Arabidopsis thaliana: one gene and its partners. The protein of the gene in region 3 interacts with the protein of the main gene of each other region in a pairwise test. Each region holds a gene or a part of one and is shown on either strand. Other genes may lie near its edges. The genes, in order: GIF3, AN3, WOX14 and GIF2.

Evidence for each region.
Region 1: the proteins of WOX14 (region 3) and GIF3 interact in binary tests that used the Arabidopsis thaliana proteins (3 or more experiments, as listed by UniProt).
Region 2: the proteins of WOX14 (region 3) and AN3 interact in binary tests that used the Arabidopsis thaliana proteins (3 or more experiments, as listed by UniProt).
Region 4: the proteins of WOX14 (region 3) and GIF2 interact in binary tests that used the Arabidopsis thaliana proteins (3 or more experiments, as listed by UniProt).

Annotation. Positions count from the first base shown.
Region 1 is NC_003075.7:355,562-359,886, forward strand, and holds GIF3 (GRF1-interacting factor 3), read left to right. Parts: upstream 1-1,783; 5' UTR 1,784-2,113; coding exon 2,114-2,197; intron 2,198-2,529; coding exon 2,530-2,606; intron 2,607-2,707; coding exon 2,708-2,816; intron 2,817-2,891; coding exon 2,892-3,165; coding exon of another isoform or gene 3,166-3,239; coding exon 3,240-3,367; 3' UTR 3,368-3,776; downstream 3,777-4,325. Other genes in the region: AT4G00840 (DHHC-type zinc finger family protein), read right to left, coding at 1-38, 117-182, 270-355, 470-596, 704-795, 891-1,089, 1,356-1,544; ATOZI1 (monopolar spindle protein (DUF1138)), read right to left, coding at 3,987-4,132, 4,211-4,307. UniProt on the Arabidopsis thaliana protein: Transcription coactivator that plays a role in the regulation of cell expansion in leaf and cotyledons tissues.
Region 2 is NC_003076.8:10,646,965-10,652,010, reverse strand, and holds AN3 (SSXT family protein), read left to right. Parts: upstream 1-1,948; 5' UTR 1,949-2,390; coding exon 2,391-2,471; exon of another isoform or gene 2,472-2,623; intron 2,624-2,635; exon of another isoform or gene 2,636-3,469; coding exon 3,470-3,546; intron 3,547-3,625; coding exon 3,626-3,710; intron 3,711-3,790; coding exon 3,791-4,180; 3' UTR 4,181-4,544; downstream 4,545-5,046. UniProt on the Arabidopsis thaliana protein: Transcription coactivator that plays a role in the regulation of cell expansion in leaf and cotyledons tissues.
Region 3 is NC_003070.9:7,180,710-7,184,616, forward strand, and holds WOX14 (WUSCHEL related homeobox 14), read left to right. Parts: upstream 1-1,848; coding exon 1,849-2,053; exon of another isoform or gene 2,054-2,620; coding exon of another isoform or gene 2,621-2,639; coding exon 2,640-3,026; coding exon of another isoform or gene 3,027-3,043; exon of another isoform or gene 3,044-3,113; coding exon 3,114-3,157; 3' UTR 3,158-3,347; downstream 3,348-3,907. Other genes in the region: HMGB3 (high mobility group B3), read left to right, coding at 1-51, 281-360, 448-484; WOX10 (WUSCHEL related homeobox 10), read left to right, coding at 3,776-3,907. UniProt on the Arabidopsis thaliana protein: Acts redundantly with WOX4 downstream of the TDR/PXY receptor kinase to regulate procambial cell proliferation and differentiation in vascular tissue, independently of any role in vascular. Involved in the regulation of gibberellin (GA) biosynthesis pathway.
Region 4 is NC_003070.9:70,679-74,654, forward strand, and holds GIF2 (GRF1-interacting factor 2), read left to right. Parts: upstream 1-1,678; 5' UTR 1,679-1,904; coding exon 1,905-1,991; exon of another isoform or gene 1,992-2,236; coding exon 2,237-2,338; exon of another isoform or gene 2,339-2,408; coding exon 2,409-2,485; intron 2,486-2,608; coding exon 2,609-2,717; intron 2,718-2,809; coding exon 2,810-3,062; intron 3,063-3,143; coding exon 3,144-3,205; 3' UTR 3,206-3,418; downstream 3,419-3,976. Other genes in the region: AT1G01150 (Homeodomain-like protein with RING/FYVE/PHD-type zinc finger domain-containing protein), read right to left, coding at 162-290, 363-1,043, 1,264-1,320; AT1G01170 (ozone-responsive stress-like protein (DUF1138)), read right to left, coding at 3,427-3,572, 3,660-3,765. UniProt on the Arabidopsis thaliana protein: Transcription coactivator that plays a role in the regulation of cell expansion in leaf and cotyledons tissues.

The DNA of each region.
Region 1 (4,325 bases), on a different chromosome or scaffold from region 3:
AATGGGAGGAGCCAAAACGCCTTCTTCTTCCCAAAAACCTTCACAAGATGAAAACAAAGAGTTATATATTTAATTAACTAACAATCCATGGAATGATGAAAACAATAAAATCTCACCTGCTCGAAGTTTTTCTTCTTTCCTAAGTCATATTTCCATCTGACTTCTCCATTTTTCTCATGAACCTAAAAAAATAAGACAATGATTCAGAGAAGAGACTCATATTTTCAAGACTTAGATTGTTTGTGAAAGCAAGAACATAAAAGATTTACCTCAACTGAAGTAGTGTTGGATGAGAGAAGAGAAATATGCATGACTACGAAACAAAGAAGGCTGAGAACGAACGCAAAGTTAAGAACTGCATCAAGGGGATAGAATCTGTAAGAAACATAAAGACGGAAAATGAGACCCAGAAAAAAGCTAAGCACTTTCTGGGAAAAGGAAAACGAGAAAAAGAACCGTTTATACTCACCGAATGCCAGAACGAGAGAGGCCAGTTTACCCGGAGAAGAAGAATGCTTTATAGCTTGGCTGAAGAATTCAATGAAACTAGGAAGCAAGACAATAACATCCAACATTGTCTCAAGAAAAGTATAGAACTACAAATTAAAAAAAGAGGGTGAAGAAATCAGCAAATCAAATAATCCCAATGCTCGCTTAAACCTTTTAAGAACCATAAGAGACTACAATGGAAATGAATATTTACCAGAAAGAGAAGGAAAAACTTGTAATTGCGTGCTCCAACACAGTTTACAATCCAAACACAATGATGATCCATCTTAAGAACACATCTTTGACCTACATAAGGAAACAAAGAACCGAATAAAGCTTTCTTTCTCTATCAGTAGAAACACAAGCAGAACATAGTATAAACAAATCAGATTTCGCCTTACACACAGAACAATGATGGCAACGAGGCGGCTTAACATTCCGGCATTTGGTACAGTAACCTAAAGAGCCAAAAGCTCCTTGATCTGTCGAAGTACCAGCCTCCAAACTGTCACCACCTCCCATTTCTCTTCTGAAATGCTCAGGAACAGAACCTGGGTCTGTAAAAACTGTTGTGAAGTAGCTCCACAACAGCATTATCAGCTGCAAAGAACCAAGCAAATCAGAAGTATAATTGTAAACCTAAACTCAGGGAGCCTAAACATTTACTAACAATCAATGGTCTAAACAATGATTATGTATCTACACTGCTTCATGCTTCATAACTACATTGCATTTCTCATTCTCTTGGCTACATAAGTTTCATGCCACATCCCTAAGTTTAAGGTTTAGGGGTTAAGTAGCAGAAAACCTAGACTTACAATTCCAGAAACAAAACCTAATCTGAAATTATGAGACTTGGAAATTACCAGGAAATGGAAAACAAAGATGATTAAGGCAGCGAGGGCGGATAAAGCTCCATGGTCTCCGCGGATCAAGATCGGCCACCATGTGCTAACTACGACGGCGTAGTAAGATACACCAACGACGGCGACGACAAGAAGGATCATGAAATAGCCGAGGACTTTCAGACCGGAGCAGAACCGGAAAAGGTTCATCTCCAGCCTGGTCAAAGGGAGAATCCGGACAATTCTTCGAGTCCGAGCCGGGAACAACCGCCGTAAAATATCCGGAGCCACGGTGAGGGATCGGAGTTTGCTTGGTTCGGAGGACAACGACGAATCGCCGTCGTGGAGCTGATATTGATACAGATTTAAAGTAACCTTCTTCTTGACACAGAAGCTTTCATAATTCTTTATAAGGCCCATTAACAGGCCCAATAAATAATAACAGCTACAAATGTTGTCTTTTTTTGGTTATCGTAGAGCTGACGAAAAATCAGACAAGGTGCCACGTGTACATTCGGTGGGGGAGACAAATTAATTGGTTGGGGGACTTTTTTGTCCTACGATTTCCCAGAAACCTCGTCGGCGAAATTCAAACAAATCAAAAGTCTTAAATTTAAGGATAATCCAAAATATTCGTTTGTTGAATATTTTTGCATCAGTTTGTTTTGCATTGGGCTCTTAAACCAATTCTATCACTCAGAATTATTGTTTTGTAATAATCGTGAGAAGAAACTTTAGGGTTTCACTGTTTCAGAGTTTTGATTGGTGAATTATAAAAGATGCAGCAATCTCCACAGATGATTCCGATGGTTCTTCCTTCATTTCCGCCCACCAATAATATCACCACCGAACAGATCCAAAAGGTTACTACTTTACTTTCTATATTTTTTGTCTTTCTGTTGTTTAGTCATAATGTCTGTTTATCGTAGCTTTGAAATTGGTTGTGTAATGATGTTTTTGAGTAGTTTAAACTGTTGTAATGAACTTTCCTTCTTGAGTATGATTTGTTTTAAAGTGTCATTGTTTTCCGCTTTAACTTTTTTTTGTTACTGGAATTGGATGTACAATCATGAGTTTGGAGTTTTTTTTTGAGTGAAAACAGAGTATTTGTATGCATATGAGATTTGAAAGCTTAAAATCAGATTGTGAAGATGACATGTTGACACAGTGAGTCACTTATTGCTGCTTCTTGCAGTATCTTGATGAGAACAAGAAGCTGATAATGGCGATCTTGGAAAATCAGAACCTCGGTAAACTTGCAGAATGTGCTCAGTAAGTGTGGGATTCTCGATACCAAGACCGAGCTATGTTAGCTTTACTGATGGTAAATAGAATATTAATAATAAAACATGGTTCTTGCTTGATTCTTTTAGGTATCAAGCTCTTCTCCAGAAGAATTTGATGTATCTCGCTGCAATTGCGGATGCTCAACCTCAGCCACCAGCAGCTACACTAACATCAGGAGCCATGACTCCCCAAGCAGTAAGTTTCTGTTTTGATCAGTTGAAAAACAAAACATTTTGGTTCTTATAGTTTGTGTGTGTTTGGTTTCTGTAGATGGCTCCTAATCCGTCATCAATGCAGCCACCACCAAGCTACTTCATGCAGCAACATCAAGCTGTGGGAATGGCTCAACAAATACCTCCTGGGATTTTCCCTCCTAGAGGTCCATTGCAATTTGGTAGCCCGCATCAGTTTCTGGATCCGCAGCAACAGTTACATCAACAAGCTATGCAAGGGCACATGGGGATTAGACCAATGGGTTTGAATAATAACAACGGACTGCAACATCAAATGCACCACCATGAAACTGCTCTTGCCGCAAACAATGGTAATATTTGGTTTTACAGCAGTTTGGAACTTATTATCACATTACTGATTTTCACCTTCTTTCTCTACCAAAAGCGGGTCCTAACGATGCTAGTGGAGGAGGTAAACCGGATGGGACCAATATGAGCCAGAGTGGAGCTGATGGGCAAGGTGGCTCAGCCGCTAGACATGGCGGTGGTGATGCAAAAACTGAAGGAAAATGAAATAGAGGAAGAATAAGTGATGCTTCTTGTTGATATCAATTAGGTTCTACCTTTCATTTTTACTTTCTTCACGATGATATAAAAAAAAGGTTTTGTCATTTTATGAGTTAGTCTCTGTTAAAAGGGTTCTGAGACAGTTGAGTTTCAGTTCCTAGATGGATGTGGAATGGTTCACATTCACATGTACAATGTTAAATGTTGTTGTATGGTATTAGTGTCACCGGTTCAATTTGGTGTATGAACCGGGTTTAGAATCACGTTTACCTGATAGTTTGCCTCCAGGTTTGTGTGATAATTAATTCCAAGGCTTGAGATGAAAAGTAACAGTTTTAAAAATGTTTACAGAATCAGCGATAACAAAATTCCAAACCAAACAAACCAATAATGTCTTAGAAGTTTTTCTTTTTGGCTCGATTTCATTTATCGTCAAAATCAACAAACCTTACAAAAGTTATGCATCGGGGAAAAGCTTGATCCGAATAATGTGTTACGCATCAACACAAATTATTACTATAACCAGCTAGAGCAATCAGCCGATCCTCAAATCAAACACAAAAGAGCAGATATTCGAAAATGAATCCATAACGAATGAGAACGATGCACGAGAAGGCATCAAAAGTTATTCAGGACGTGACTTGACGATGAAATTCTGGCGACTGATAGGGTTCATGACGACGGGAGGACCAGCAACTCTTGGCCATGCTTGTAATCTCTCTTCAGTCGCAGCACCCCATTCCTTGTTAGTAATAGTTCCTGGTGTAGTACCTGAGAGTTCAAAACAAACCAAACCAAATTTAGCTTTCTGGATACATCATAAGTAGCTTTATAAGGTTTAAAACTTGCCTCCAAAAAGCTTATCATCAGAAATAACTTTGTCACACACGTAAGCTACTACCGCAGATCCCGCAAGGGCACCGATAATGTATGTAGCTCTCGACATCCTTAACCTGAAGTACAT
Region 2 (5,046 bases), on a different chromosome or scaffold from region 3:
CAAAGATAGTACAATAATAAGTTACAAGTTGCTGCAACACTTTTCTCTATGTAAGAGGATTCAACATCAACCTCACATTAACTATAAAATTTATGGCTGTTATATAGAAAATAAGGTAGTATAAAATTAATGTCGTAAAAATTTAATATTTCTTTTAGGTATTAACCAAAATGAATTGATCATTTGTAAGCGTTTCAGAATCCTACCTTTAACTTCATAATCTCAATTTACAGTATGCAAACAACTATATTGGTCTGATAAAAAAGAAGAAATGGTATTTTTAGTTTTGTTCCTAGTGTTTTTGGTTTGCTTTTAGATGGCATAGAAACACTATTGGTTTGGTTATTGTCTATAAGACATAATTAATCGGGAAAAGAAAACAATTCATTTATCCTTACAGATTACTTTAATGTTCATACATAATACTATAGTTAAACAAACAAACATTAAAAGTTGAGCCTCCGTGGTTCATATATGCAGAAGGAATATCTCGGATCCATTTTTGGTACCAACGAATAAAGTGTTAATTAATATTTAACCACATCTACAAGAGGGTTTAACGTGGAATTAAGTATAACCACGCAAAGATAATATAGCTGTTGAATCTTTTTCTTTTTAAATTACCGACCATCGAAACGTACTTCAAGAATTCGAACAAAAAGTTAATGAGACTTATCAAATAACTCCAAACTAATTATTATTATTTTCTTTACAAAAGCATTTCAAAAACTTTAGAGACCCTTTGGTTGAGAATCATCAATATTAAACATTCAAACCAAGTTAGGGCAGTGTTTTGATGGTCGATAACTCGTCTTATTGGTCGAGACAAGTGATCGAGTTAGTATTAACATATGTAAAAAAAAAGAAACATGTATTGATCATTGTTGAGGATAAATTTCATCTATTAAGATATCAGTCAATTATAATGTGTTACGTGATTCGATAAAAAAAAAAGACCAAAAAAAAAAAGAAGATAACTATTGGTAAGCGTAAGAAATGTGTTTACATTTTGGCATTTTGCCAAAACACATAAAGATGGTTAGTGATGAGACGAGACGAGTCATGCGCTACTTTTAAAACAAAATGAAAAACATCATTAAGCTAACAAACCAAACACACTTGTTTTGATAACATGTTCTAGGGAACTAGTTATGCCAAATCTAATCCGCATAAGAAGACTAAGTCACAACATAATTCAGTAATTTGGTTGAGATTAAATCCTATAAATATGATTTTAAGGTATAAGAGAGAAGAGACTCTTTTGATCAACACAATCAAACATCTACAAAGAAAATTATCTCACATAGCTACTTCTTAATCTAATTTTTTCATTAATCCATTTTATTTTAAATGTGAAGAATCGCATCTAGATGTGACCTCTCATGATAAAAAATTAAACCATTGTAAAAAAAATGTTGTGTAAAACTAAATATAATAAATTATTAAAAAAATACAAATTCAATCCACTAGGTTAAAAACTCCTATGTAGAACATTTTTTTATATTAAAATGTAAATACATGAATCTTATTTTTCGAAAAACTAAAGACATCTTTTTTTTATATATTAATTACCAAAACAAAATAAGACGACAAAAATATTCTTTGATATAGTAAAAGAAAACTAGAAAACTAGAAAACAATAAATTACCAAAACAATCTAGAAAACAATAAATCCTACTTTGCATTACTTTATTATAAAATCCCGAAATGAATCTATAAATGTAGAAAATATTATACAAAAGTTGTAAGAGATTTTAATATACATAATTACATATATATACAAGTAAATACACCGTATATACATACGAAGGAGTAAACAGTATTATTTGGTATATAGTTACGTCTCTATATACGAAGGGTTCAAACTTCAAAGTAATAATTTAATCAACAATGTGTACATATTGATAAGTAGTAGTATATATGTAAAGGTCTCACGTCTCTATAATAAAGTATGACTCGTCACGTGACCTCCTCTTCTTCGCAGAGACAGAGATAGGATGAGACAGAAAGAAACCAACAAAACCAAACCCCAAAACCCAAGAAAAAGAGAAAAACACTCTCTTCTCTTCTCTCTCTCTCTTTCTATTTAAGAGACTTCACTGTCTCTCTCAGTCTTTTAACGCAAAACAACTTTTGTGGAGGAGAGAAAGCGAGATAACACACACACAGAGATACACATCTTCAATAGTTAAGAGTTTTCTATATACAGAAGCATAGAGGAAAGAGAGAGAGACAGATACAAAAGTTAATATCTCTCTCTCTCACTTGGTGAGACTTCTCTTTTTCCTCTGGGTTTTGTGGTGGGGGTTGTCTCTATAAAAACTTATATATATAAAATATATAAATAAATAAGAAGGAATTATCAGGTTTTATATAAAATAGCAAAAGAAATGCAACAGCACCTGATGCAGATGCAGCCCATGATGGCTGGTTACTACCCCAGCAATGTTACCTCTGATCATATCCAACAGGTTCTCTTCTCCTTCTCCTCCTTCTCCTTCTTCTTCTATTATATTATCTCTTTCTTTTTTCTTTATTATATGTTTCTTTGAATTCATAAAGGAAAGTGAAGAAATCTCTCTTGCAAGTACCTTATAACTTTTTCTTTATATTATATAAAAAAGTATGTGAAACCCTTTTCTTCTGTTCTCATAACATAGATGATTTTTTTTCATTGGTTCTTTTTTGTTTGGTAAAAGAGTTCTTGTTATTCTTGTTTCCATGTCTTTTTTTTTCATAGAGAAATTAGTTTTAATACATGTGTGTTTATGTTTGATAAATTTGGTTGGTAGAGATGCTTTGGTCACTAAGATGATTCTTTCAACTTTTTTTCTTTTCCTTATAGATTTGGTGTATTATCAGTTAACTTTGATGCTAATTAAATGTCTAAAACCAGACAAAGTTAAGAAAGATTCTTTCTTTCAATGAAAATGAATGTTTAGGGTCCAGTTGTGTTTTGAGTTCTTGAAACATGTAATGAAAAATAACGTGTTCAAAACAGACAAATCTTGGGAACTGAAGATTTGTTTCACATATCTCGTTTTTTCTTCTTGTCTTGGTTTTCGGGTTCTGGAAGTTTCATTGATGGCAAAAACCACAAAGCCATTTATGTGAATATTGTGGGTGGTCCTGTTTAGATTTGTTATCATTATAAGTAGATCTATGTGTATTTTCCAGTCCAAGTGTTTCTTTTATTGCTTACATGACCAGATATACTTTGTGGTCCGAAACAACATCTGGTCCTTATCTCAGTTTTTTTTTTGTGTGGTCCTCAAAATCTTTTCGAAGAAAATCTTTCGTTACACTTTTGTGATATTTCAACATTATTGTCTTTTGAGATAAGTCGGAATTTAAGTTACTGGGGTCTCCTTTTGAGATTTTCTATGTCTTTATTACAACAAAAACAAAATAGTATGCAAATTTTTTGTTTGTAGCATTAGTAATGATTAATGAAAATGTTTGATTGTAGTACTTGGACGAAAACAAATCGTTGATTCTGAAGATTGTTGAGTCTCAAAACTCTGGAAAGCTTAGCGAATGCGCCGAGTAAGAGACAACATATCTCCTTTATGATTTCACTTGTGTTCTGTTGAGTAACAAGAAATGATGATTAAAATGGTTATAGGAATCAAGCAAGGCTTCAACGCAACCTAATGTACCTAGCTGCAATAGCAGATTCTCAGCCTCAGCCACCAAGTGTGCATAGCCAGGTGATTGTTTATACAGTGAAGTATTCCAAATTTTGTTGTATGATCAATTGAGAAAGTGATTTGTTTTGTTTGGTTATTAGTATGGATCTGCTGGTGGTGGGATGATTCAGGGAGAAGGAGGGTCACACTATTTGCAGCAGCAACAAGCGACTCAACAGCAACAGATGACTCAGCAGTCTCTAATGGCGGCTCGATCTTCAATGTTGTATGCTCAGCAACAGCAGCAGCAGCAGCCTTACGCGACGCTTCAGCATCAGCAATTGCACCATAGCCAGCTTGGAATGAGCTCGAGCAGCGGAGGAGGAGGAAGCAGTGGTCTCCATATCCTTCAGGGAGAGGCTGGTGGGTTTCATGATTTTGGCCGTGGGAAGCCGGAAATGGGAAGTGGTGGTGGCGGTGAAGGCAGAGGAGGAAGTTCAGGGGATGGTGGAGAAACCCTTTACTTGAAATCATCAGATGATGGGAATTGAAAGAGTGTGGCACAAGGAATCTTAATGATGAAGCAGCAGCAGCAGCAGAAGAAGTAGTAGTAATAATAGGAGTCTTGAAGTTAGTGTGTTTTGGTTTTAGTTGCTTGTTGAAGAAGCAAAGAACTCTTTATTTACTTCTTTTTAGTTTTGTTATTCTCTCTATGTTTGTTCCCTAAAACAGTGAACCTCTTTCGTGGTAGTGTACCATGTAAATCTGCTGGCTCCAAGTTGTGTCGTAATCTTAATATGTTATTTCTCTGAGTTAGACTCTTTTGCTTTAACCAGGACTGAAGTTTTGTAGATCATTGATGTTACCTATTTGGATTCTAAATCGTTATGTAGGCTATATTATTGTTTTTTTTTTCTGGCTGTTATACATAATTTTATTTTATAGTTGATAAAGTCCAACCGGTTCAGTCCAAGACTCATATGACCAGCCTTAGTGGTCCTCGCAAGGTCCCATACTGCTGAAGACCGGACCATAGCCACCCGAAGCTGCACTCAAACCAAAGACCATATTCGGGTCCATTTAAGATAAAGTCTCGTGAAGAAAAGAGGGTTTCAAAAATGTGTCTTTTGGTCCCTTTGCTTCGTCCTAGATTCTTCAAGTAGTATTGAGTGTGGATTTCCCTTAGTTGAGAGTTCCATCGACGATTGTTTTTCTAGTGTCTGGATTCCCCTAGGAGGCCAAGCCCAGCCCCTGCTTTTTACAACTCAATCACAAGCCAAGAGAAGTCTTCAGTTATTCTATTACTTCCTTCCCTTTGGCAAAACTATAAGCCTTGAAACAATATGTCACAAACACTAGTTAAATGTTTAGACCGCACCACCATAGGCCCCAAGTATGTATTTGACATGTTGGCTTC
Region 3 (3,907 bases):
AAGGTTGAGTATGAGAAGAACATGAAAGCCTACAACAAGAAATTGGTAATTGTTTATTTGCATATAGAAGGCTATGTTATGTTTATATTAACCACGTTATTGAGTTGTCTACTCTCTTTATACTAGTCAGTAGTCACACTATTCAAGGCTTTCTTAATTTGTTTACTATATATTGAAGTTTGAGTTATGTTTATTCTAAACAATGATGATACAAGCAACTGGTAATTTGGTTAATGGGGGTGCTTGAATAATGGTGGTGTGTTGTGGTTTCAGGAGGAAGGCCCTAAGGAAGATGAGGAATCTGACAAGTCAGTTTCAGAGGTTAACGATGAGGATGATGCTGAGGATGGCAGTGAAGAGGTAAGTTATTTTACACCTCTGCAATCTAAATATCTGTAGTATGAATCAGTAAAGCTTTGTATTAACTCTGTTATACATGTGATGTAGGAGGAAGACGATGATTAAGAAGTTGAAGTTGTGGTAGCGTAATATAGAAGGCTGCAAGGAATCTCTCGGATGTTTTTATCTCCTCTCTTAAAATGTTAATTCGGGTGGTTAAAGTGGTTTTTTTTTTTTTTCTTTTTCTTTTTCTTACTGATGTTTCGTTTTAGTAAACTATTACCTATCTCCCACTGATTCTACGGGTAATGGAAAAAGTGAATGTAGAATGTTTAGATGGTGAAATGAGAGATTTGTAGCTCTATATAATGAATGATTTAGTTTTTAATTCCTCTACGTTTTAATGCTCTTTAGACTCTTTGTTTCTAGTTGATATGAGGATTTATACCCCTGAAAAAAATATTAGTGTAAACCATGTTTTTACTTAAATCATATTGGGGTTGTGAGTCCTATTGCATAATCACGCTCTTAATCAATGTGTTCCACAAAGAGTAAACCATGTTTTCACTTTTTATTTAGTTATTTGACTTTAGACACAGGTTGGTAAAATTGTTTTGAGGCTATACTTGAATTTTCCAAATTACCAACGCCATGATCATTTGGTTCTCTTTTCATCTTTTGAAAAAAAAAAATGGTTTGCATCAGCTTAATTAAGAGTTTCTCTTTGGATTGTATTACTTCGTTTGATTTAAGAAATAAGTAAAAAATTTGATCATTTTTGACAAAAGTGAAGATTTTAGTGAAAATCTGCGTATTAGCAGCAGAATAGTCTCACTTATGTTATAAATTTTTAGTCAACATCTTTATATCAAAGAACCTTTTTGGTCAAATTCGTACATTTTCTTCTTAATCAACTTAGAAAAAGAAAGAAAGCATGCTCTTCTTTTTCCATCAATAGTTTAATCATTAGTCATAAGTCACAACGATAATATTTTATATAATGCTGTGATTAAGCCTTGCTTCCGGCTTTACCTAACCACTATATACATAAAGTAAGATACACAGTTTGTGTTCCTCTACGGATGTAACAACAATACCTGGTTTTAATTAGGTTGTTTTTATATATTAGTGTGGTGTCTTATTATGTCATCAACACATAGGATTAAGATCTTCTTAGATACATATTTTGGATTAGCACATTTTTCTATTTCAAATGGTAGATATCTTGACCCGTAAAACTCGATTAAAATGTTGAAATTCTAACAAAAAATTGTGAATACCGTCGACCAAAATCTATCCTAGTGAAAGGCCATAGTTCTCCAATGTTTTCAATATGTAACCAATGTAATAAACCTGGTAACTGTAAAAATTAAATTGGTCCAATTGATCATTAAACAAAGACATCTTTCCAAAAAGTGTTTGATTTAACGGTAACAAATAAACTAAAGATCCCTTTATTCATAAACAAAAGAATATATATATCATTCACTTTCTCATTGTCTTGTTCATATGGTAAAAAAAAAAAAGGAAAAGGAGAAAAGCAAAGAAATAGAGGAGATGGATAGAGAGATCCAAAACGGTGCGTATAGTGGGAGAGTGATGACTGAGGAGCAGATGGAGATTCTCCGTAAGCAGATCGCCGTTTACGCCGTTATTTGTGACCAACTCGTCCTCCTCCACAACTCCCTCTCTTCTTACCATCCACTCTCATCAGGTACACTTCTCTCTGTTTTTGTTCCTGATTAACAACAATCACTTTTCTATGTATTTGATTTTTTTACAAGAGACCATTTGATGAGCTTCTTTGTATACGGTAGAAGAAGTGTGTAAGACGAAAGTGTTTAAACGCAGCGTTTTTTGCGATGCAAACGTTGTTTCCATTAATACACTTGACCCATTGAGACTTTAGTGTAAAAATGTGAAAATTGTGTTTGCGTTTGGTATACAACTAACGAAATCCAAGGCTTTTTTTTTCCCAGTGTTCGATGCATAACTTTGAATCAAATTTCATAATGTTTTAGACATTCGAAGACAGTTTACCTACCGCTTAGATATCGATTTATCATTGCTAAAGATATTTGTTAATATAGTTTATGATTTGCTTAGATCGAACAATTCAATATATTATTAATGTTTATTTTCTCTAGACGTAAGCTGATTTGAGGGTTATCATGTCGTGGCCGATTTTTAAGAAGCTTGAGTTATTAGTGCTTTGTGGTTTTGATAATACATATTTTGTACATGGAAGAAACTTAAGGGTCACGTCACTTATTTTTTTATAATGATTGAGTGTAAAAAAGGAGTGAGGCCAATGGTTGGCGGATACTTTGATCCGATGGGGGCATCGTCAAGTTCTCATAGGATATCGACTAGGCATCGGTGGACTCCGACTTCAACACAGCTTCAGATACTTGAGAGCATTTACGACGAAGGAAGTGGAACACCGAATCGACGGAGGATTAGAGAGATCGCGACGGAGCTGTCTGAACATGGACAGATCACGGAGACAAATGTCTACAATTGGTTTCAAAACCGGCGAGCTCGGTCCAAACGAAAGCAGCCTCAAACGACGACAGCTAATGGTCAGGCTGACGATGTGGCGGTGACAACGGAGGAAAGGAGGAGTTGTGGAGATTCAGGGGGATTAGAGTCTTATGAGCATATACTCTTCCCAAGTCCTGACTTAGGTAAAAAGATCATTTGAGTTTTTAAACATTTGGTTAGGTTTATTTTTTATTTTTGGTTTGAGTTTGCATTTTTTTTTGTGGTTTCAGGGATTGAGCATTTGTTGAGTATAGGGAAATTTATGGAGACTTAAAATTCGTATAGACTTCGATGAAGAAGATCTCTAATCTATTCTGTTTTCTTTTACTCTGTTTTCATAAAATAGAATTGTGTGTGTTTGTGTGTGACATTAACAACAAGTCTTCAATTTTATTATAATTTTGTGTTCCTCAACTTGATATATATGCCCACATCTTTTTCAGCATCAGAAAGAAAAGTGATGCCATCTTAAACTCGGTTGATATTTTGACCGGTAAATCTCAATTCAAATGACACTAAAGAGTAGAAGCAATTGACCATAATAACCGATCCTAGTCATGACCATAGCTTTTTTCATTGTTTTTAAATTTATTGTTATCACACAAAAAATCATATAAAATCGGATATTGGTTACATGACCACACAATTAGAATATATATCAATTATTTATCCAATTGAATCCCAAAATTACCTCAATTAACTAGTAATTGAAAAAGAAAAAAAATCAGACAATTGATCCTAGTTTGACATCTTTCCATAAATTGTTTAAAGTTAACGGTAACAAATAACTAAAGATTTCTCAAAAAGAAAAATACATAACACCTTCACTTCCACATTGTCTTCTTCATATGGTAAAAAGGAGAGAGGAGAAGGCAAAGTGGTGAAAGAGGAGATGGAGCAAGAGAGCCTAAACGGTAGGTATGGTAGTAGAGTAATGACGGATGAACAAATGGAGACTCTTCGTAAGCAAATCGCCATTTACGCCGTTCTTTGCGACCAGCTCGTCTTCCTCCACAACTCTCTC
Region 4 (3,976 bases), 7.1 Mb from region 3:
GAATCCGAAACTGCGATTACAAGGAAGGACTAACATCAAAGTCGTCACACTACTATACTGCCAATTCAAAAGGTCACTAGGATTTGTCTTAATGTTTTTGATATCAAATGCGTCATTTAATACTTCTAAGGATTTTATGGTGAAAGGAATCACATACGCACCATATTTCTCCATTTGTCCTTAAGATCGGAGGAATTACGAGTTGTGTGGAATATACCTTTTCCCATCTCCAAAATCTTCTTCCAAGGCATGTTTTTGTTGATTGTATCAGAAAATTTCTCCACTCCCTCCTATCCAAAATAAACATATACTATAAGTTTAAGCTAAAAGTGTATTTCAAGAAAAAAGTGTGGTGGTTTTACCCTCAACATCTTCTCTTCGTTGACTGTCCATAGTACCCTTTTTGGCTGATCATTAACAACAGCATAAGCTTCTCCGCAAGATTTCTCCATATCAATGAATTGATCTGTTGACTCGTCTAACTGGGAATTTCGAGCCTTAAGGTGCTTGACCAGTTCTTGTAATTGATGAAGGTTCTCATGTAGTTGCATTGGTAGTGAATTATCAGAACCATTCTCTAGTTGACTGTTTTCTCTCGTCATGACTATATCTCCACTCCTCAGCTCACTACATCCATATTGAACAAGGGTCTTCGCAGCTGCAACACCCCTTGTTCTCAAAGCCGTGGATCTAGTAGCTTGCTCCTTAAACCAACAATAGGGACAGTAAAAGGTTGCAGGATCTTCACAATCAAGCTCAACACACTTCCTGTGAACAGCGAGAGGGCATTCATTCCCAGAACAAGGTACTACACCATCGTCTGCAATATCGCATACAATACATGCGTGTTCGTTCAACGGCTCAAAGCTTCTGAAAGTGTCACTTGTCCCAAGGTAGTGGCGCTTCTTAAGAGGCACATTATCATAAGTGAAAATGTTTGGAGCAGAGTTGACGTCCTCATCACCACCATCATCACACTGAACAATACAATGAGCAATGCGCTTTTCTCTCACAAAGCCAATTTCTTCAACAATTTCACCTATCTAAGATAGAGAAGAAGATAAATCCAAGTAAGAGTGTTTACACAAAATTGAACTAAATCGACCAATTTAAGGTTATCTAAGACCAATTAAGACATAATTTGTTCTAATTACACAGTAAAAAATATCAAATTGTTCTCTAACGTATCACAAGCGACATCCGAGTAAAGACTAAAATTCGAGAAAAAATAAATTAAAGGTTTCTTCTAAAAGGGGTGCTTACATAAGGACTCTTGAGGAGAGCGATATCATCTTCATCAAGCGGGAGATCACTCACCATTTTTTTTCAGATTCCGAGTGAAGATTTGAGAAATTCGAAGGGTTTACGTGAGATTTCTTAACGAATAAGAAAAAGAAGCTACTGTATGTTACCGTTTGGTCTCTCTGTAAGTGTGTCTGAGGTTTCGAAATTTCGAATTTAGGCGAAGAAGGAAGAAACTGACTCAATGTAGTACTTTGCAATGTAACTTTCTCGATGGTCCATGGGCCTTAGAACCGTCTTAGGCCCAAATATGTCCTTTTTTCCCATTGGCCCAAATATATCCAAAACTTTCTAATTTGGTTAGAGGTTGCTCGTTGCTGTATTAATTAATGTTTTATGTTTTCGTTTAGAGTTTTGTAAAGACAAATTAGAGAGAGAGAGAGAGAGACAGAGGCATTTTTGGTCATAAAATCCACACAGAGGTGGTTCGACATCCAGGTGAATCCAAGTAATAAATTGCAGGATTCTCTCTCTATAATATATATAGATATAGCTTGCAATCATTTCCTGCGTTTGGATCGGTCTGGGTTTTGTCGAGGGTTTTTTGGGGAAGACGAAATTAGGGTTTAGTTGGGGCAAAGTAAGTAGTAAAGAAGAAGAAGATGCAGCAGCAGCAGTCTCCGCAAATGTTTCCGATGGTTCCGTCGATTCCCCCTGCTAACAACATCACTACCGAACAGATCCAAAAGGTTCCTTCTTTCTCACCCTATATCTCTCCCTCTCTCTTAATTTGTTCAACACTACTTAGGAGGCTCTTAGAGCTTTTTTGTACTGACAAAATCATTGGCTTCTGAGTGCAAGTAATACTCTTTTGACTGTAATTGGTGGCAATTAGGGTTTTCATTTGAATCTTTCTCGTTAATTCCACAACACTTGAGAGTCTGTTGTTGGTGATGATGAGAAGAGACAGTTTCTAGGACTAGGAAATTAGTAGATGCTTGGTGGGTCAGGAAACTTTGAATCCGGTTTTCAAGAATGGACATTGAAGTTAGATGCTTGCTTGATGTTGTTGTTTTGTACTTTCTCTTGGCTTGATGTCTTCCATGGTAAGATGATAGGCTGCATCGTCATTTCCTTGTCATTCTCTTTCCTTTGCTTAAACGCAGTACCTTGATGAGAACAAGAAGCTGATTATGGCCATCATGGAAAACCAGAATCTCGGTAAACTTGCTGAGTGCGCCCAGTAAGTCTCACCTTTTCTATCCATCTTCTTATGTCTCTTAGATAGTAATGGAAGCTTAGAATTACTATTATTAATGGTGAGGTTTATATAGTTATTCTATCTTTTGCTCTGTTATATTTTCAGGTACCAAGCTCTTCTCCAGAAGAACTTGATGTATCTTGCTGCAATTGCTGATGCTCAACCCCCACCACCTACGCCAGGACCTTCACCATCTACAGCTGTCGCTGCCCAGGTTGTTTGTGATGATAAAACTCAATTGCGATCTATCACAGAAATTTAATGTTGTTTGGGGGTTTGCTTACTGTTGGGTATGATTTCTGTTAGATGGCAACACCGCATTCTGGGATGCAACCACCTAGCTACTTCATGCAACACCCACAAGCATCCCCTGCAGGGATTTTCGCTCCAAGGGGTCCTTTACAGTTTGGTAGCCCACTCCAGTTTCAGGATCCGCAACAGCAGCAGCAGATACATCAGCAAGCTATGCAAGGACACATGGGGATTAGACCAATGGGTATGACCAACAACGGGATGCAGCATGCGATGCAACAACCAGAAACCGGTCTTGGAGGAAACGGTAACTCTCTTTACATTATTAAGACAATACTCAATCTCATAAATTGTAACTTGTATCCATTACTTCTTTCTTTGCTAACAGTGGGGCTTAGAGGAGGAAAGCAAGATGGAGCAGATGGACAAGGAAAAGATGATGGCAAGTGAAAAGGATCCAAAGAAGCTTTGTTTTGTTGATATTTAGGACTTGTGAGTCTCGTAAGGGCTTTTTGCAATAGCTTGTTTGAGTTTTTTAACAGAAGATAGACTGTGGAGTAGTTCCGCAAACCGTGTTGTAATGTATTGTTATTTAGTACAAGCTCGGATTTAGAAAACATCGTCATCGTTCATCTTATTCTGAAAATCAAAGCATTGAACTTATTATTTTCTCATTCCGGACGAGTCTTGACGATGAAATTCTGACGGCTAATGGGATTCATAACAACGGGAGGACCAGCGGTTCTTGGCCATGCTTGGAATTTCTCATCCGTTGCTGCCCACCATTCTTTGTTAGAGACAGTTCCTGGAGTAGTCCCTGAAATTTTCACAAGAAGATAACCATTAAGATCGTCCCTAACTTGAAAACACACACAAAACTAGATAAATCTTGAGCAGAACTTGCCTCCAAAGATCTTATTATCAGAGATAACTTTGTCGAAGATGTATGAGATTCCGAAAGAACCGATGAGAGCACCGATTATGTACTTGGCTTTACCTCCTGATGCCATTTTCTTCTAAAGCTGAAAGTGAACCATTATTACAACTTAACACTCAACTCACAAGAGGAGAAGCAACAAAGCTTATGTAAGGATTTAGTATTAAGGCCAAAAAAACACAGATCAAATTCAATTATTGAAGCTTTACTTATCAAGTTATCATATAACCAATGAAGACGGTAATTCAAAAGAAAAATAAAAGGGTTTGTAGAATAATTGATAC